Linked DNA regions of Tribolium castaneum. The protein of the gene in region 2 purifies or fractionates together with the protein of the main gene of each other region. This does not show direct contact. Links are inferred from orthologs where the notes say so. Each region holds a gene or a part of one and is shown on either strand. Other genes may lie near its edges.

What was found.
Region 1: the proteins of Nup133 (region 2) and Nup37 purify together in Homo sapiens (affinity purification with mass spectrometry; 4 studies listed by BioGRID and IntAct, with this or other methods). This does not show direct contact. The link is inferred for Tribolium castaneum from reciprocal best matches to the Homo sapiens genes NUP133 and NUP37.
Region 3: the proteins of Nup133 (region 2) and Nup160 purify together in Homo sapiens (co-immunoprecipitation; 4 studies listed by BioGRID and IntAct, with this or other methods). This does not show direct contact. The link is inferred for Tribolium castaneum from reciprocal best matches to the Homo sapiens genes NUP133 and NUP160.

What each region holds. Positions count from the first base shown.
Region 1 is NC_087402.1:809,574-815,311, forward strand, and holds Nup37 (nucleoporin Nup37), read right to left. Parts: upstream 2,883-5,738; 5' UTR 2,865-2,882; coding exon of another isoform or gene 2,811-2,864; 5' UTR 2,806-2,810; coding exon 2,747-2,805; exon of another isoform or gene 2,722-2,746; intron 2,675-2,721; coding exon 2,604-2,674; intron 2,528-2,603; coding exon 2,469-2,527; intron 2,422-2,468; coding exon 2,239-2,421; intron 2,143-2,238; coding exon 1,528-2,142; 3' UTR 1,513-1,527; downstream 1-1,512. Other genes in the region: Nop10 (H/ACA ribonucleoprotein complex subunit 3), read left to right, coding at 2,811-2,864, 2,917-2,959, 3,011-3,108; DNA mismatch repair protein Msh3, read left to right, coding at 3,615-4,915. UniProt on the Homo sapiens protein: Component of the Nup107-160 subcomplex of the nuclear pore complex (NPC). The Nup107-160 subcomplex is required for the assembly of a functional NPC.
Region 2 is NC_087396.1:14,344,063-14,350,616, forward strand, and holds the start of Nup133 (nuclear pore complex protein Nup133), read right to left. Parts: upstream 4,321-6,554; coding exon 4,121-4,320; intron 4,074-4,120; coding exon 3,946-4,073; intron 3,900-3,945; coding exon 3,361-3,899; intron 1,894-3,360; coding exon 526-1,893; intron 479-525; coding exon 332-478; intron 280-331; coding exon 78-279; intron 28-77; coding exon 1-27. Other genes in the region: spas (spastin), read left to right, coding at 4,546-4,978, 5,028-5,198, 5,270-5,377. UniProt on the Homo sapiens protein: Involved in poly(A)+ RNA transport. Involved in nephrogenesis.
Region 3 is NC_087395.1:25,110,233-25,115,291, forward strand, and holds part of Nup160 (nuclear pore complex protein Nup160 homolog), read right to left. Parts: coding exon 4,878-5,059; intron 4,660-4,877; coding exon 4,296-4,659; intron 4,243-4,295; coding exon 4,070-4,242; intron 3,771-4,069; coding exon 3,385-3,770; intron 3,335-3,384; coding exon 3,116-3,334; intron 1,188-3,115; coding exon 1,069-1,187; intron 1,022-1,068; coding exon 759-1,021; intron 714-758; coding exon 410-713; intron 363-409; coding exon 163-362; intron 116-162; coding exon 1-115. UniProt on the Homo sapiens protein: Functions as a component of the nuclear pore complex (NPC). Involved in poly(A)+ RNA transport.

The DNA.
Region 1 (5,738 bases), on a different chromosome or scaffold from region 2:
GTTAAAAGGCGGCAAAAAGTCGATTTTCGAACGAATTCGGTAAAAGGGGCGAAAAGCAACGTCATTATCACTAAAACTGGGCTTAAAACGGGTCAAATTGGCCGATTTTGGCGAAAATTGGGTCAAATTGGGCCCAAAGTGTTGGTTTTTCGTCAAAAAGTCGTTACGTGTTGTGAGCGCTTCGCTTAAATACATTGTACAAATGGAGTCGTATACGCTTATACAGCTTGCCATATGAACAAAGCCGTGTCAAAACAAATCGGGTTTTTGCGCCAAGGGCTGGTCGAAGGAGGCTGCGATTTTGGGCAAAAATCGGTAAAAAATCGCCGATTGTGTAAAAAAATCGGCACGGGGGTGCGACAGCCCTCTGAGGAGAAAAAAAATAAAAACCGTGCGGATAGGCGACCCAATGCTATCCTTATGGCAGCCATTTGCTGTCCGTTATATGCACAGTAGCGAGGTTTCGGTCGCTTTGAGTTTGTTTGGTTGCAAAGGCTCAAGGGCGGCTGCCGTGCATAAAACGGGGGCGAAATGGATGAAACTACCCGTACAATAAATATGATCCAATGACAATATGTACATGCAAAAATATAAAAATTTCTTACCTGATTCTACCAACAAACTGAACACACGGCTTCGTTCGTATTTGGACCCCACGCCACTTATGCGGTCTATAGGAGAGAATGGGCGTCGGGGATTGGTCGGGTTTGAAGTTGGCGCGTTGGCGCGACCAATCACGAGGAGTCTAAACCATTTTGTTACATTTCTTTTATGAACCAATAATATACTTAGTTACACAATAAATGACTTGGAGTGTTTATGGATACGTGAGGCGGGAAAATTATTATTAATTCAGATGTGGGGACCGATAATTGTTGGGAAAAAACGTTGGAAGGGTTTTGGAATAAGTATGAGGCTGGTAGTGATAGGTTATGTCACTTGTTTGGGGAAAAAAATCACGGATGCTCCATTTTCGTATCATTAACAATGTTTGTGCGATAACTGTGTTATCGTATTTCCTATTATTTGTAGCACAGCACAGTTACACAGAGGAAACAAATTGTATTAAGTAAATATTAAAAAAAACTCAAAATTGCGTTTTTTTATTTAAAAAAAATGTGTATGTTAATTTTTATGCAAATTTTCATTCAAAATATCATCTCTTGAACCTTTTGTAGTAAGTGATTTTTTTTAATTTAATAAACAAATGTTTGAAGTACTAAAATTTTCAGCATTGTCAATTGTTAAATTGCAAGGCTACTAAGATTTTTTGAAAATATTGATCAAATAATGATTATAACACATTTATTTCAATGACAGTTAAAAGAACATCGATTTTTTTGATTCTAGTACTATTTAAAAAAGATTACCAACATACATATACAACCCTCCATGATTGAGTGTATATGTAATAAAATTTTTTGTATTTTTTCTGAAATCAAAATACTCATGAAAAGTGTGTAAGAACTCAGGTAAGAAGTTCCGGAGAAAAAAATTAAATAAAACACAGAATTATGTGAAATATGTTTATTTTGAGACAACTTTCCAAAAAGTCAACGTCATATAATCGCCAACGCAAACAATTGGATATCGGCAATGCCAACTAACATTACTCGGAAGTGTGACAGGAACTGACAACTTCATTTGATTAATCTGACAATCAACAATTTTCAACGTACTATCTAGACTATTAATCGCCGCCACCAAATTCCCAAATGAATTAAACCTAACAAAACCTCCAGCTTCGGTAAAAACAAGAGTATTACTCGCCGGAACGCACGGCTTTGACAAATCCCAAATGAGTAATTCCCCTAACTGCAATGATGCCACTAATTGCGAATCGGACGGCGCCCAATGGGCACAAGCTAGGGGCTTCCCATAATCAAGCGATAGAATTGGATTTTGCGTCTCAACGTTGTAGAAACGAATTAAACCGATTTTTTCAGCAATGAGTAATTTTGAACCGTCGTCTTTGTGCCAACATACTGACATTCCAGGTGACGTCAGTTGCAGTGTCACCACACATTGAAAATCGGTGGTGTCCCATAGTTTGGCAGTGTTGTCGTCACTCACTGACACCAGAAAATTATTGTCAGGGTCGAATTTAACGTCGTTTATGTAACTGTTGTGCTCACTTAAGACCTAGTCAAAAAAATAATTAAAAAAAAAGGTTTTTATTTACTAATCACAGCCTACTCTTATGCCAATTCAAATCAATTTATTTATTTATTTACGAACCTTACACACATCAGAGCCCCTTAAATCACTCCGAAACACTCGCACCTTGTAGTCTTTGCAGGCCGCTGCGAAAATTATATTATTTGGTAAAATGCTGGTTGATGTTTCTGGGGAAAATGTTAAGGAACAGCAGCGTGATTTAAGAGTGAATTCTGCCAAAATATCGAGTTCCAGCGATTGTTCCTACAATTTTAATAAATCAAACATCATTCTATTGTTACAAAACATACCTCATCTATCTTTAAATGCCCCAGGACTACTTTACTTTCGAACCCAATTAAAATCAAATCTTGGGAAAGAATAAAAGGGGAGAATTCAATGTTTAGTATTTGTCCATATTCCGAAAAATCCTTCTTAAATACTACCTTGGAATCGTTCAAATGCGATGCAATTTCCATAATTATGTTTGATTAGAAAAGTGCGCCAGAAATCTAACCTACAATAACCTAACTTTAGTAACTTTTGTGTTATGTCACCATGCGGCGTCATATTGGTAACCAAAACTAACCTTAAACCACATTTGTTGTGAAGCGAAAAAAATCGTTTTTTTGTGGGAATTTTCTTCATTCAAGATGTACTTAATGTATTATTTGGATAAAGACGGTAACCGGGTTTACACCTTAAATGTGAGTGTTACTTTACTGTCTTAAATATTGTGATAAATGAGTTTTTTTGTAGAAATTTGACCCTTCAGGAAAACCCACACTTTCGGCACATCCAGGTAACAATTCGTGAATTTTGGGGGGTTTACGTGAACTCATTATTGTTTTAGCACGTTTTTCACCCGAGGACAAATACTCACGTGAGCGAATCACAATCAAAAAACGTTTCGGGTTATTAATGACGCAACAGCCGGAACCAATTTATTGAGAAATAGTTTATTTTATTATTGTGATGAGAATATTTTTTTGATATGAATAAAAAATCGTAAAATAATGTGTTTTTTTTTTGTCATGTTGCTGCTTCTTCTACATTCTTCAAGTTATCTTTTAGATGTCTTTTTCAAAAAGTTATAGTTTTACTTAGAATTTTTCAAAATTATTTAAAAAAAAACTTTAAAAGAATTCCCCAAAATTGGGAAAATTCACTAGGTTGGCACCACTAACGGCGCTTGATTTTCAGTGCCTTGTGTGAAGAATAAGTCATTTCTTGACTGTTTTGTGGTAGTAAACGCTTGTCTGAATAAAGGGCGTAAATTCCAGGCCGTTTGTTGGTCATTTTGTGTAAATTAGCCATAGAATACACACACATTAGCTTCGCATTTTAGGGACATTTGGTAGCGTTATCAGCGCCGCCCTTGCCTGTCATTGTCATTTGACACGCCATTTGTGAGAAACCTTTGTTCTTTCTCAAAAAAATCAATAAAATACGTAAAAATGGGCGATCCGAGCCCAAGTGATCAGTTAGAAGACGGTGAAATAGTTGACGATGATGATTTCGAAGCCATTTCCGATAATTCCATCATCGATTCAACTTTTGGTAAGTTTGCTTCAACTAACCAACATTTACGTGCACCCCCTTTAAGTAGCGATAGTGAATCAGACAAGATCAAAACTAAAAAGCTACTGCACCGTAAATCAAAGCACCAAAAACGGCGCAAAAAGCGCCGAATACCGTCGTCTGACGACAGTGACAGTGATGTGTCACCTCCTCAAGATCTCAAGGGCAAGTTAAAAGAGGCGATCCACATCAGTGGTAGTGATGAGGGGCTCAAAAAACCCCTCGAGACACGACTCAAAGCCATGGGGGGCCTGGCCGCGAGCGCCCCCGAGCCCCCCCAAAAAAACGAAGACACCTCAGATAAAATGGACGATACTGAACTGGAGAATTTGCGTTTGGAAGCGCTAAAGACCGCGATTTTGAACAAATTCCAACGCCGGAAGCGGAAAAAGGAAGAAACGCTCGAAAATAAAGAGAATGATACGCCGAAAGATGAGAAAAAAACGGAGGAAAAAAACCCGGTTATTGACCTAGAGGAGGATGAGGACGTGTTAAGGGCCTCCCTGTTGGCGGGCCTTGCGAAAAATATCACTGAGAAAAGTGTAACCACTAAACCACTTCCTCCACCACTTCCGAAACCAGTAGTAACTGCGCTTCCAAAACGGCCAATAAATAACTTTAAAACCACGAAAAAAATCACAGTGACTAAACCATTAGTTAAACCGTTGATAATCAAAGTGAGTGATTCGGACAGTGACGAGGAAATTGAACCGAAACCAAGTGCTCCACAAGCGCCAAAAAAAACCGACTTGAATGTGATTTCGAGCAATGTTGAGAAATTTCTCAAAGAGCAAAGAGCCAAATTTGAATCGGAGAATAAAAAACGGTTTAAAATCGTCAATAACGATAAGAGTATCTTGGAAAAGTCCGCCGTTAAATTGCTACCAAAGTCGCAACAGCTTGAATATCAGCAGTTGCTTAAGCGGCTCAGAAATGCGGAAAAGACGAAAAAGGCACGGAAAATTAACGTGCAAAAGACTGAACCGGCGAAAGTTGCAAGTGAATGTGTGCCAAAGGCGTCAGTTGAAGTTACTGTGACGCCGGAAAAGGTGCAAGTTGAGGTAAAACCACAGACAAATGGGGAAAGAAGTGACAGTGAGAAGAGGAAACGGATCATCAATGAACTTACAACGTTGCAGAAGACGCTCAAGGAGATCAAGATGCAGAGGAATGGAAGGTATTGCTTTTGTTGTGTTTTTTTTGCATGTCTATTGTTATTTATTTGATGTTTTGATGTTGTTCGAAATTTTTACTGGACAAAGTTGTGTTTGTTACTTAATTTTTAGCGAGTTCATGCGAAATAAGTTCGTTCAAACATATTCGAAAAAATTAAAACACTGTTTTTTTACTAATTCTTTTCAATAAATAACATTAAATCTTTACAGTTTTTTTATTACTTTTGGAAAAAAAATTATAACAAAAAAAATCTCATCTCCACACAATAAAACTTTTGAACAATATCTTGCCATTTTTTTCTCGTATTCGTATAAGCAATTTTATTGTCCAATAAAAAAGGCTGAAATATTAAATTAGAATTTATTATTAGTTAGTTCGGTATAACAAGAGTATTGTTATCAAGAACTTTGTCGTCTTATTTTCATTGCTTCCTTCTTATCTAAATAATTTTTGCTATTATACTCATTTGTAACGAATACTTGGATGTTATAAAGCCGATAACAACTTTTTTCCGTAATCAGTTTTTAGATATCTCTATAATAGTTGACCCATCTTATCTTTTCATTTGTTTTTTTTTTTTGTTAGAAAATATTGAAGTAAAATGCGCTGCGATTCTAAAATTAGGTTGGCAATTTGTGAATGTTTTCCATGTCCTGTCCACAATTCATTGTCACCAACTGAATTTTAGAACCAAGCTCGACATTATTAAATATTTTTTTACTCTTATAATTAATTAAATTTGTAAGTTGTAATAGTACTTATGTATTCGATTAAATACTGATAAAGAGCAATTTCTGCTTGTACTTTTCGTTGTGTTCATGAAG
Region 2 (6,554 bases):
CACATCTCTCCCAGTCTTTTTCGTGTACTGCGGGTAACCGAAAATGAATCAGTCGAAATAAATAAATTGCAACTCACTAAAAGGCTTCATGAATTTCTGGCGGTCGGAACAGTATTGCTTGTAAATAATTTCCTCAAAGGACGTCGCTTTGATGCTCTCCAGGTGGCTTTTGCGGCCGTCGAGAATTATATCCGTGATGGAGACCAACTGGTCGAAAAGATCGTTCCTCAAGCGCTCATTGTTCGTTAAAATTATCCCGTAGTTGTATGTGAGATAATGCTAGAAAATAGAAGTAATTATGAACTAACTCAATTAACTCAATTTTTTTTACCATTTGAGACAGAGAATTAAAGAGGCCTTCGGCCCCACTGGCCGCAGTCCAGGGCAAAAATTCGGGGGCTATGGCAAGGACACCCTCCGACGGTTTGTAATTCACCACATTCTGTTCCCTAAAGTTGATCACGCTTTTCAGCGCACCCTAAATAAAGCATTATATTATGTCACCCTCTTGTGGCAAAAACCCACCAAAATAATCTCATTGGTGTCGTGGATCATGTCAACAATTTGGGCCGGATCCATGTTCGAATGTGACTTGTCCTCGCAATAATTCACCATCTCTTGAATGCCTCTATGCACCTGACTGACCTCCCGGAAAAACACATCCTGGTACGTTAGCCCGTTTTCCGGCTTGGTTTCCGACTCAGCCGTCGCTTTTTCGATGGCTTTTTCCAGAACTTGATTATAGGCGACAGTTTTGAGACTGATCGCGGCTATGATTTTCTCCGATATTTCGCCCATGATGTACGTTGTTGCGGTGGTGGTGTTGCGAATTGTGGATGCGGACAATTGCGCCCACAGTCCTGACTCTTTGAGGAATTTTATGAATAGTGAGAGTGCTTTTTGTTTGTTTTTTAATTGGTCGAGGACTTGCATCGAGTGTGAGCTGCCAAGCCCGACTTGATGGTCCTTTGACCATCTGGGATCACCGGCTGGGGTGTCATCGATTAAGTCCTTGCCCATCATTATTACGACTTTATCCAGTAATGAGTCGATTCCTGGGAGTTTGGACGCGTCAGGAGGGAACAACTCGTCGATGATTTCCTTGCAGGCTTGCTCCTGGTTTTGTATCCGGTAGATAAAAGCGGCCTTTAATTGACTAACTGTGTCTTTGTAAGCAATGGAAATCTCCTCAGGGTCCATGTTGTAAATGGACAGGTTATTAACCACCACGTTATCATTAAACGACGTCTCCACGAAACTGTTAGCGCCTGTGAGACTTAGGTTTAAGTCATTAGACATATCATTGCTCGCCACTGCGACTAAGCCATGATTGCGCGAGAAAAATATAGGTGTGTTGACACAGATCGCACCCGCTAATAAAAAATCTTGAGGTGTGTTGAACTCTAAAATATCAGGCTCTTCTTGGGGCTTGATAACGGTGATATGTTTCTGGTTGTATAAGTAGGCATTAATGCCGCATAAAAGAAAACGATACGATAGGGAATCCCCCGGATTGTTTTCCCGATACAAGTCCGTAATTTTCAACAAAAGAAAATCTTTAACGGCTGTTGGAGGTTGATTTGTGTTCGTCTGTAGACTTATCATCGCGTAATGTACCCGAGGAATATTAACCGCTGCTGCGAGTATTATAACATTGTCTTTATCTGACTGTATGTCAAGTAACCAGGTATCAATTTCGGTTTGGTCTCCGACACAATTCTCCCACAGGGCACCACAGAAACTATCTCTGACTATTCGGTTCAATTCGGTGACAAATATCAACTCTTCGTCGTTTTTGGACAATTGCCACTTTTGCAAATTGTGGTCGGCTAAAACGTACACCGTCCAGGTGTCGCTAGTTGTACCAGGGACGCTCAGAACGCGCACTATTCCCTGTTTGAATTTTTTTAATCACTATTGAATCAATAATTAGAGTGCGAGAACAGCCTAAGTCCAAAATGCCAATTTAAAACGAAAATTCTCATTTAGTAACCAATGTTTTTTTCAATATGTAAAAAGTTAAATAAAATGAATCCAAGGTGTAACTTGTAATGAAAGTTTTTTTAAAACAATTTAAATATATTTATTACATAAGAAAGTCTTTCGAAAATCTTCAGTATTTTGAAGATAAGGAAGGTTTCTGTAATAGTAACACATTTAAAGTTTTCTGTGAAAGTTGTTTGAAAATATATTTTTCCTATCTCTGCTTTTCTTAACTGAAACCAAACAACTTCTGGTACCACTAGTTTACAAATTTTTTTCTTTTACTAAGAGATAATTTATACTGATTTTGTGTACTGTTTCTCAATGATAACTAAGATATATGTCACATTTGTTATCACGTCTAGTTTTTTTTAATATATTCACTAGAAGTTTTGAAAATTCGTATCCGGTGTCTAGTTTGACATTCCTTGTTTCTGTAATAACTAAATAATTAAACATTTTATTTGCTTTAAAGTATAGTCAAGTGAATGTCGATTAAGCCCAAATAACATTTGATTTGTTTGTGAGAAAATTATCCTAATAAAACCTGGGAAACTTAAGCGATCAAATGGTAAACGCTTTCATCAAGATTTAAAGTCTTATGAAAAGAGGTATACCAAAGATTTACTGCTGGTTACAATAAAAGAAACTGACACTAAACAATGCAAAAAAAGAAACAATATGTCATTTTTATTTATTTTTTTAATCAGTCTTATCTTTGGTGTCTTTGGCATTCGTTATTGACGTAACTAACAAATTGATAAATATTTTATTTGCTTTAAAACATCATCAGGTGAATGTAAATTTCTATGTTTGTGTTTAATTATTATCCTAACAAAACCTGGGAAGCTTAAGCAATGAACATCGTGAACATATCCATCAAGATTTAAAGTCTTATGAAGAGACGTATTAAGGTTTTTGGGATAAAAATATGTTAATCGTTTACTACATAAGGATAAACTGACCCTGATAGTACAAAAAAAGCAGTCTGTAACATTTTAGTTGTTGCAAAAAACTTGACGTCACACATTGGCTTCATGTATTGGTAAAAAACAAAACACTGTGAACTAGTTAATTTAAATTGGCTTCCAACTGCACATTTTTTTCTTGCAACAGGAGGTGATGACACCAAAGTCCAAAGAGTCTTCAATTTCAATATACCTTAAAAAAGGTTCTAATTAATTTCTAATAAAATTTGCTGTCGTCACAGGTGAAAAAATTAAAATTATTTTCCCACATAGACACTGTGTTTTAAAAAATTTGACTTAATACTTTGTTTTAAACAAAAAGCTTGTTCAATATCACTTTTAATGATAATTAATTTTTTGGTAAAAATGCACTTAGGCTGTTTTCGCTCTCAGGCCCAGAACTACTCACACTTTCGGCCGAGGTTTCGCTCGCGATTGGCCCAAAAATCAGACTCGACATTCTCTTGCTAATGCCCCCCAACCACCCAGTTGGTATTTTAAGTGTTTTGCATTTCAAACTGTGCCTCCCGCCACTTAGCTGTGGCTGGAGCAACAAAACGGTGCACGTTGTGGTGGCCAGAATGCACCCAAGGCCCTCGACATCGGTCAAACTGTCGCATTCCTGGCCTTGTAGACTGACGTGCTGTTCCACGGAGATTCCTTCATGGACAATTGCCGGCCAGTAGCGCACCACACCTTCCGGCGAGACTGCGATACAAGAAGGTGTGTTCGAGTCTGAATTGACGAAAACCGAGACCAGTTCAGCTCTGTGCGCCAAGTCGCTTTGCGGGAGTTGCAGTTCAAAGCACTGGTTTAGTAAACTTGTCTTTTTCGAGGGGGTGTCGAGCAACACGGGGCTTTGGCGGTACTGCCAGATCAGCAAGCGGCGGCCGCAGACCACCCACAGGTAGCCCAGTTTCGAGATTCGGGCCGATACCACGGTGTTTCCTTAAAGAAAAAAATAAATTCGTGGGAAATTATAGTGGTGGCTTACTGTCGGCAAATGTGAGGGCTTCTGTTATTAGGACGGGGAAGGTTTGGCCGAAACGTTCAACGTAGTTGTAAGGTGTTGATAGTATTATTTGTACCGATTGGGTTGATTTTCCTGAGACACTGAAACGGCTAAAAGACCGGTAAGTATGAGAGTGAGGTTAGAATCGTCAACTTACGATGATTTTCGGAAATTAGGCGGAATGATTTTCTTGGCGTTGAGATTTTGCCGAGAACGGGGAGAAAACGGGCTTCTGGTGGAGAAAGATGAGTTGAAGCTTCTATCCATTCTGACTTTATTACAAATATTCAAATTTAAAAAGTAATAACAATGTTGACCACTTATGTCAGATACAGATGACATGCGCGCATTGCACATGTAGCATGTGGTTCTATGTTCATGGAATCCTATCCGGAAAGCAGCGTGATTTTTTGTTTTATCACAGGTTTTATCTATTTACGAGACTGAGAAACACCTGGTTGTTATCATATTTGGTTCCGGTGATTTTTTACTCCTCGATGTTCCGTTGTGGAACGAAGTGGCTGAATATTATGAAAAAAAAAGTTGGCAGCCCTGTAACAGCGTGAGTGTGATGGCATCCGGATGGTGCGTAAAACCCAAACGAAATCACCTGGCAAAAAATCAAGAAAAAGTGACCCCGACATTTCGAGAAGCGATGTGATGTTTACGTCGTACTCAGAGACCTCTGTCCACAAGCGAAACCTATGCATCGTTTCCTTCCCGATTATTTTTCTGTTCAACATTTTGCGCACTTTGCTCTACCAAATCTTTGTTATCCTTCGTTTCGTGTATTGTAGTTCCTCAAATTACCTAGTAAAGAAACGTCAGTTTGAATGTGGTGAGAGTGACCAACAAGTTGCGACTTGTGTCATTGAAGAGATCACCGAAATGACGCACGTCCAGAGGGTCACAGGGCCGGGGCCCGGGGACCCCCTTCTGGCCAAGCAGAAGCACCACCACCGCCGCGCCTTCGAGTACATCTCCAAGGCGCTCAAGATCGATGAAGAGAACGAAGGTCGGTGCCCGGTCTGGAGGCACGGTGAATAATTGATGGTCGTTTCTAGGTCAGAAGGACTTGGCCATCGAGTTGTATAGGAAAGGCATCACGGAGCTGGAACTGGGGATCGCGGTGCAGTGCTGGGGCGGCCGGGGCGAGGTGTGGGAGCGGGCCCAGCGCCTCCACGAAAAAATGAAAACCAATCTTGCCATGGCCAAGGACAGGCTGCAGTTTTTGGGTAATTTGGACTGGATTGATTTGCTCATTTTGGTTTGGTATTTACGTCTTTGTTGTTGTTTCTGTTTATAGAAAGCATGGATATGTTACATCGACAGGATGTTCAAAAAGAACCAAAAGAGGCTCCTAAACTTAGCTACACTACCAATATTCCTACTCCCAAACTTTGTTTTAACAAAGGTATTCTTCTTATTTTCAGTATTTCAGCTTCCATTGGTGTAACTCGTAGTACATCGGCTTCTAATAGTAGAACGCGTTGCTCGATTTCTTACCATAATCCCTAGTAATTAACTCATAGATTATGTAATCCCAGCAATCATTATCGACACAGTATTTTGAGCAGTAACAGCCTCAAGCCTCAATTAACAACTAGATTATGAGTTTATCGCTTTTATGATTCAGACAGTGGCGAATCTAACCTTGATTCTTCAAAAACCTTTGTCTCTTGTTTGCAAATTGGTAAAGTAAATAGCAAATTTTAAAACATCTCATTCGCCAGTGGGTACAGAAGTCTTATCCTGAATCACATACAAATTTGGATAGTGCATACCTAAGTGTATATTTGCTGCAATTACCAAAATTTTTTATACTATAACAGTCTAAATAATGATAAAATTATTTTATTATCTTAGATGCAGTTTTATTATGTTTATAAAAGTGAAATTATATTGAACTAAAATGTGATTATTATAATTACAATAGGTATGTATTTTTTCGTAACTTGAGACCATACGATTCTTTTTTGACTTTTTTTGAGTACATAGTTCAAAATAAGAGAATTGTTTATGCAAAGTCCTACAGACAAGTAAACCAGCTAGTGATCAAGAACCCACTCCAAGTCTCAACTTTGTTTAATTTATTCAACAGTAATAAAATTTAATAAAATTGCATTCACGTAGAGAAGCATACTTTTAACGATATGTTAAGACAGAAGGGTTCAAAGTAGAGCAAAGTAAATGAAAACCTTGTAAATATCTTCTTTTTTAAAAACGCTGCGAAAACGGTACACCTCATAAAAATATCTATATAAAAAAACAAATATAGAGAACTAAATTTTCAAGTCAACGACAGAATAACACTACTGTCTTTAACGGTTCAGGCTCTAAAAGACGTTCAAGAATTTTTGAAAAACATCTTAAATTTGTACACCGTCACCGTCGTTTTTGTAGCAAATTTAATTTAATTTAATTAATTAATTAATATAGTACAATTTTTATATTAATTTGTTCTGTGTCATGGTGCTCAATATGTTAATTATTTATAGGACCATTATTTCTGTTTAGTTTAAATGTTGATGATAATCCGCATTTTCGGCCTCTATGCTTCCTCTCTCTAGGTTTGTATTGTTTTAAAGTTG
Region 3 (5,059 bases), on a different chromosome or scaffold from region 2:
TGCGCGGGTTGAAGCGAATTAACTTGAGCTTGGCGCTGGCGAACGCCAAGTCCTTGGACATTATTTCAAGGTTGATGATGTTCACTTGTTTGCGTACTATGATTTCTTCAGGCTCCTGTTGAAATTTTGAGTGAGGCACGCCTCAAATGCTAGGCTACTTACGTCATCCGAGCCGGCAAAAGTGGGTAAAGTGATGGTTTTATCCTCGATTTGTTCCACGGGCATTACGATGTAAGCGTATTGAGGCTCACACAAGGCTAGGGCGTTTTTCGCAGCAAGGTAACACTTGACTTGTTTTTCCAACGAGTCAGGATCACTGTATTGGCTGAGTCGGAAGGCTTGTTCATACATCACAGAGGCGGCTACAACCAACCAATCACAACAAATCGACCAGAAAATAATCCAGTACCGGCCCGCAAAAAAGTGGTCCCTCTTTTAATTTGATAAGCGTACAAAAAATCGTAGTAAATATTATTCGAGGGGTCGGCAGCGCGCGCCCTCGTCGAGACAATATCACAAAATAGCTCCTCCATCCCGCTGTACGTGAAACCCATCAAAACGTCCAACTTCTTCTCATCCAGCAATTTTTTCACCAAGTCGCGCAAATTGTCCTTGCGTCTGTCGGAATCCGGGTTGGCATTGAGCGAGTCATACGCACTTTGGTAGTTTTTCAGAGCCAAATGGTGCTTGAATTTGATGGAGTACAAAGTGGCCTAGAAGTAACACTAGTGGCGCCCTTTGCCTCAAATGGCACTTACGGTCAAAGGGTCGTCCGGTGAGGTGACACTGAGCGCCTTATTGGCCAAAGCGATCGCACAATCGTACGATTTGTGCAATTCGAACAAATGAATCACTTTCAAGTAGTAGTTAATGTAGGCTTTGGTTTGGTTGTGGTCAGGGGTTAGGATGCGTTGGGCCAAAAATTGGTCCGTGAAAATACCCTTGGCCGCATTTTCGAACAGTTCTTGCGCTTTGTACGGTTCACCAGTGGTTAGTAAAGACGCGGCGAGAAGGAAGCTATCTATAATAATTAATTAGTTGAGGGCGCTTAATTGGTTGGGTAATTACGTGTGCAACTATTCCATTCGCACCACGAGCTTATGTAGCGGATGTACTGCTGCAGCCATAAGTGTTGGCCACAACTGAGCAGCCATTCGGCCAAAATCGGGCTGCCACTGATCGGCCAACTGTACTTAGTTAAGGCACTATACGCAATCATTAAATAAAAAAATTGGAAATAACTAAATTTCCCATGAAAAATACGGTAAGACGCAAGGAAAAGCCAAAATCTAAGTTACTAGTTTTTAAAAACGTGTTAACCAATCAAAATAATTTTAGTTTGTGAAGTTTCTTTCAAAATACACTATTCGGTTTTATGAAATGTATTTTACGACAAAAGAATTAATTAAGGATGATTATTTAAATTGAACTAATTAATTTGATAATTCAACAACTGACGAAGAGTGTTTTTCAGTTTCTGGTAGTAGTATTTTTTTCGTAAATTTTGCTGTCCCGTCCGGTATTGCAAACAAATGCTTTTATATCTCACGGGGCTAAACAAGACCAATAATGTTTAATTTCCACTGCCTAATTTTGTTGTTGTTAAAGTCTTTAATAAATAAAACCTGTCGGAATAAATATTTTAGAGTTATTTTCATTCACAGGATTTTTCTGTCCCGTCCGTCATGTGTGCGTAAACAACGCTGCAATGAAGCCGAAATACTGATTTTGTGGGCGGGGCAGCCCTAAAGCCGGTTTATCGCCTCATTTGTTCCGTGAATCGGTAATTGGCCAATAAAAAGGAAGTAATTGTCGAGCTCCTTGTTTATCGGACGCACAAAAAATTGCAACACGATTAAGGTGTTTGTCATTGGATAGTGGTGGGCCATTCAGTGCGAACTAACAAACGGACCAATTAGAAAGCGTAGAGGGCATAACTAGTGTTTTATTTGTGCAAATATCGGGAATTATGCCGTTTTCTCTTTGAATTCTTTTTTAAGGTACAAGTTCGGCTTATTTTTGACAAAATTAGCACAAAAGTAAAACAAAAAAATTCGCCTCAGTTTTGAGAGAAAATTGTGCGAAATAATTGAGCTTTTCTGACGGAAAATAGTGCAAATATCAATTTTCAAATAATTAAACGCTGCGCTAACAGCAATTTTTTTATTTCAAAAAGACGAATTAACATCCAAATGGGAGAAAAAAACTATTACAAAGGTTACAAAAGGCAAAAATAACACCATTTTCAACCGAATTGTGTGATGTTTCGACTTGTTTTTTGCAAAATTTCGCTGAAATCGAGCGAAATAAACCTCTAATTCGGCGAGTTTTCAACCAGTTATATTAAAATTTTTCCAAAAAAAAAATATTTTTAACACAAAACCTTCCTAAACGTCCGAAAAAACGTCTAATTCGGCGATTTTTCAACCAGTAATATTAAAATTTTTCCAAAAAAAATTGTTTTCAACACAAAATCTTCCTAAACGTCCAAAAAAACGTCTAGCTCGGCGATGTTTCAACCAGTTTTATCAAAATTTTTCCATAAAAAAATTGTTTTGAACACAAAACCTACCTAAACGTTCGAAAAAAACGTCTAATTCGGCGATTTTTCAACCAGTTTTAATAAAATTGTTCCATAAAAAAATGTTTTTAACTTAAAACCCTCCTAAACGTCCGAAAAAAAGAAAATATGAAACTTTTAGACTTGATTTAAACTGTTTTAGCGAAATCAAAACCGTACTTACCTAATAAAATATTAAAAAAATATATTTCGGACTCAAAAAACGTAGTAAAGCGCTCAAAAATATATCATTAGGTCGAACAAGAAACAGGTTTTAAATTTGAAAAAATACTTAAACGTTTGAAAAAGGCTTTACCTAATTTAGCAATTTGACAAAATCATCCGAAGAAACAATGCAGTAACAATTTAGTGATTTTTAAGCTTACCTGTGACGGCCTGTTTTAGCGAAATGTGCCGAAAAAACCTGAGAAATGTTCAAAAATATGGTCGAAAAATGCAATAATAACGTCACTTTTTTAATTCAACAAAATATTCAAAAACTGCTTTTTATTAGTGGCGAATTTTCCTGTACTTAAAAAAATAAAAAAAGGATACATGATGTGGAAGAGGCAATTAAGATACGGCAAAAGCGCCAAATGCCAATGCGCCAGACTCTCCTCATCGTGCCTCAACCTCGCAAAGGCCTTCCGTGCCTCATACCCCCCTGTACTCCCCGCAAAAAGCTCCAACAACGAAATCGAGCTAATCGCATTCGTCCTGAGATTAAAAACAGGACTCAACCTCAACGACGACAGTCTCTGCAACGTCGACTCGCTAAAACCCCCAAATCATTATCCCTCCTGACTCAGTTAACTGTCGCTTACGTTGGCAAATACTGCAAAGCGGACAAACCCGACAGCCAAACCATCACGAAATTGGCCTGAGTCAAAACCACGATCTCGGGACTACAAACCGACCTAATCGCCTCTAAAACGTTCCAATCGAGTTCGCCTCGCTCGAGCAAAATGTTACTAATAAGCAAAAGACTGCGACAGATAGTGAACCGGACTTGGATCTGCTGTCGGAGACATCCTGTAACCATCGAAACACCCAACTGCGAGGTGAAAATGTGGTTTATTGAGGCTTGAACGCTGTCGATGGGCTCCTCTGGCTGGATTTGGTACTCGATTCGGAGCAATTCGAGGATTTTGTGGATGGATTGGTACAAATCGGTGCAATCGCGCACCATCTCGGCCACGTGCTCGGTGAACTAGAGCACAAATCGGGCGGTTTTTGCTTAACTATTTACGCGAGATCGAAAAAATACGCGAAAGCTCAAAAACTACAATAAATTGCAGTGCTTTAAATAATTTTAAAATTCTTCAAGAGTTTTCCGTAAATGATTTGAGCAGATATCAACAGAAGCAGCTGTCATTAAAATTTTCTGTGATATAAATATAAGAATGGTTCGCCAGGCGCCACGGTAAAAGTACCAGATAATAAATTGTAAAACGTTTTTTAGGGCTCAAAAGCCCCAGAATATTTTTTTAACATAAAAAAAGTACGAACCTCGGTGTCCATCTCGCGCTGGATCTGCTCAAGGAGAGCCCCCATGACGACATCAGGCGACTTCAGCAGTGCCAACTCTCGTTCGAACGTGTACGCGAAAATCTCACTCATCTGCGAATCCAAATAATTAATGACCTTGAACAAACTGATCACGTCGTCTGTGATATCAACATCTGCAAAAAATGAACCAATCACAATTGATTAATTAACTGTGCGGTTTAATTACTCTCAGACAAGAGGAAATATTTGGTGAATTGGTCCCTAAACATGTGGTCGCTTTCGTAGATGAAATGTTCAAAAATATCGAGAGGTCGCAAAAACGAAATCATGGATTTTTTCAAAAGTACGGCCCCGGAGGAGTTTGGAAGAACAAGGAGGCCTAAAGGTTTAAGTCCAGCGACGTGGTATTGGACGCAACAGGAGTAGAATTGTTGCCAGCAGTAGCTGGCGGTTTCGAGATAATCTTCGTCGCTGACGACGGTTTCCTTCAGCTCGTTTTGGACCTCGTCTTCGACGGCCATGCAGATCTGCTGCTTGAGATGGGCCGCCGAGAGGTTCAAGTCGCTGATGACGGCCGAGCGTTTGTAAATCTATAATAAGCAGTTGGTGTGACAAAAAACGCGCAATAATTTTTATGTATATTTTTTAAATAAAAGGTTTGAAAAGCAACAATTTGTTATTTTGTCGGGTCGCCAGGAGTCACATTAATTGTGCCTCAACCAAATAAGAAACTAAGAGGTTTAGAGAAAAACAAATGGCACATTTTCGAAAAATACAGTAAAAAAATCAGCTTGACTTGAAAACTTACGTTCAAAGCCTTGCTGATTATATGCAAGGGGAACCTGCCCGGGTGGAAGATGTGCTGGAGGTAGCTCTGCCTGGGATCCGTCTCCCCGTCGATGCTCAACGGTTGGCTGGCGTCTGGCACATTTTCCAGAACCACGGGAATCCAGTGACTCCCCGCCTGGTTCGAGGCCGAATACACCTCAC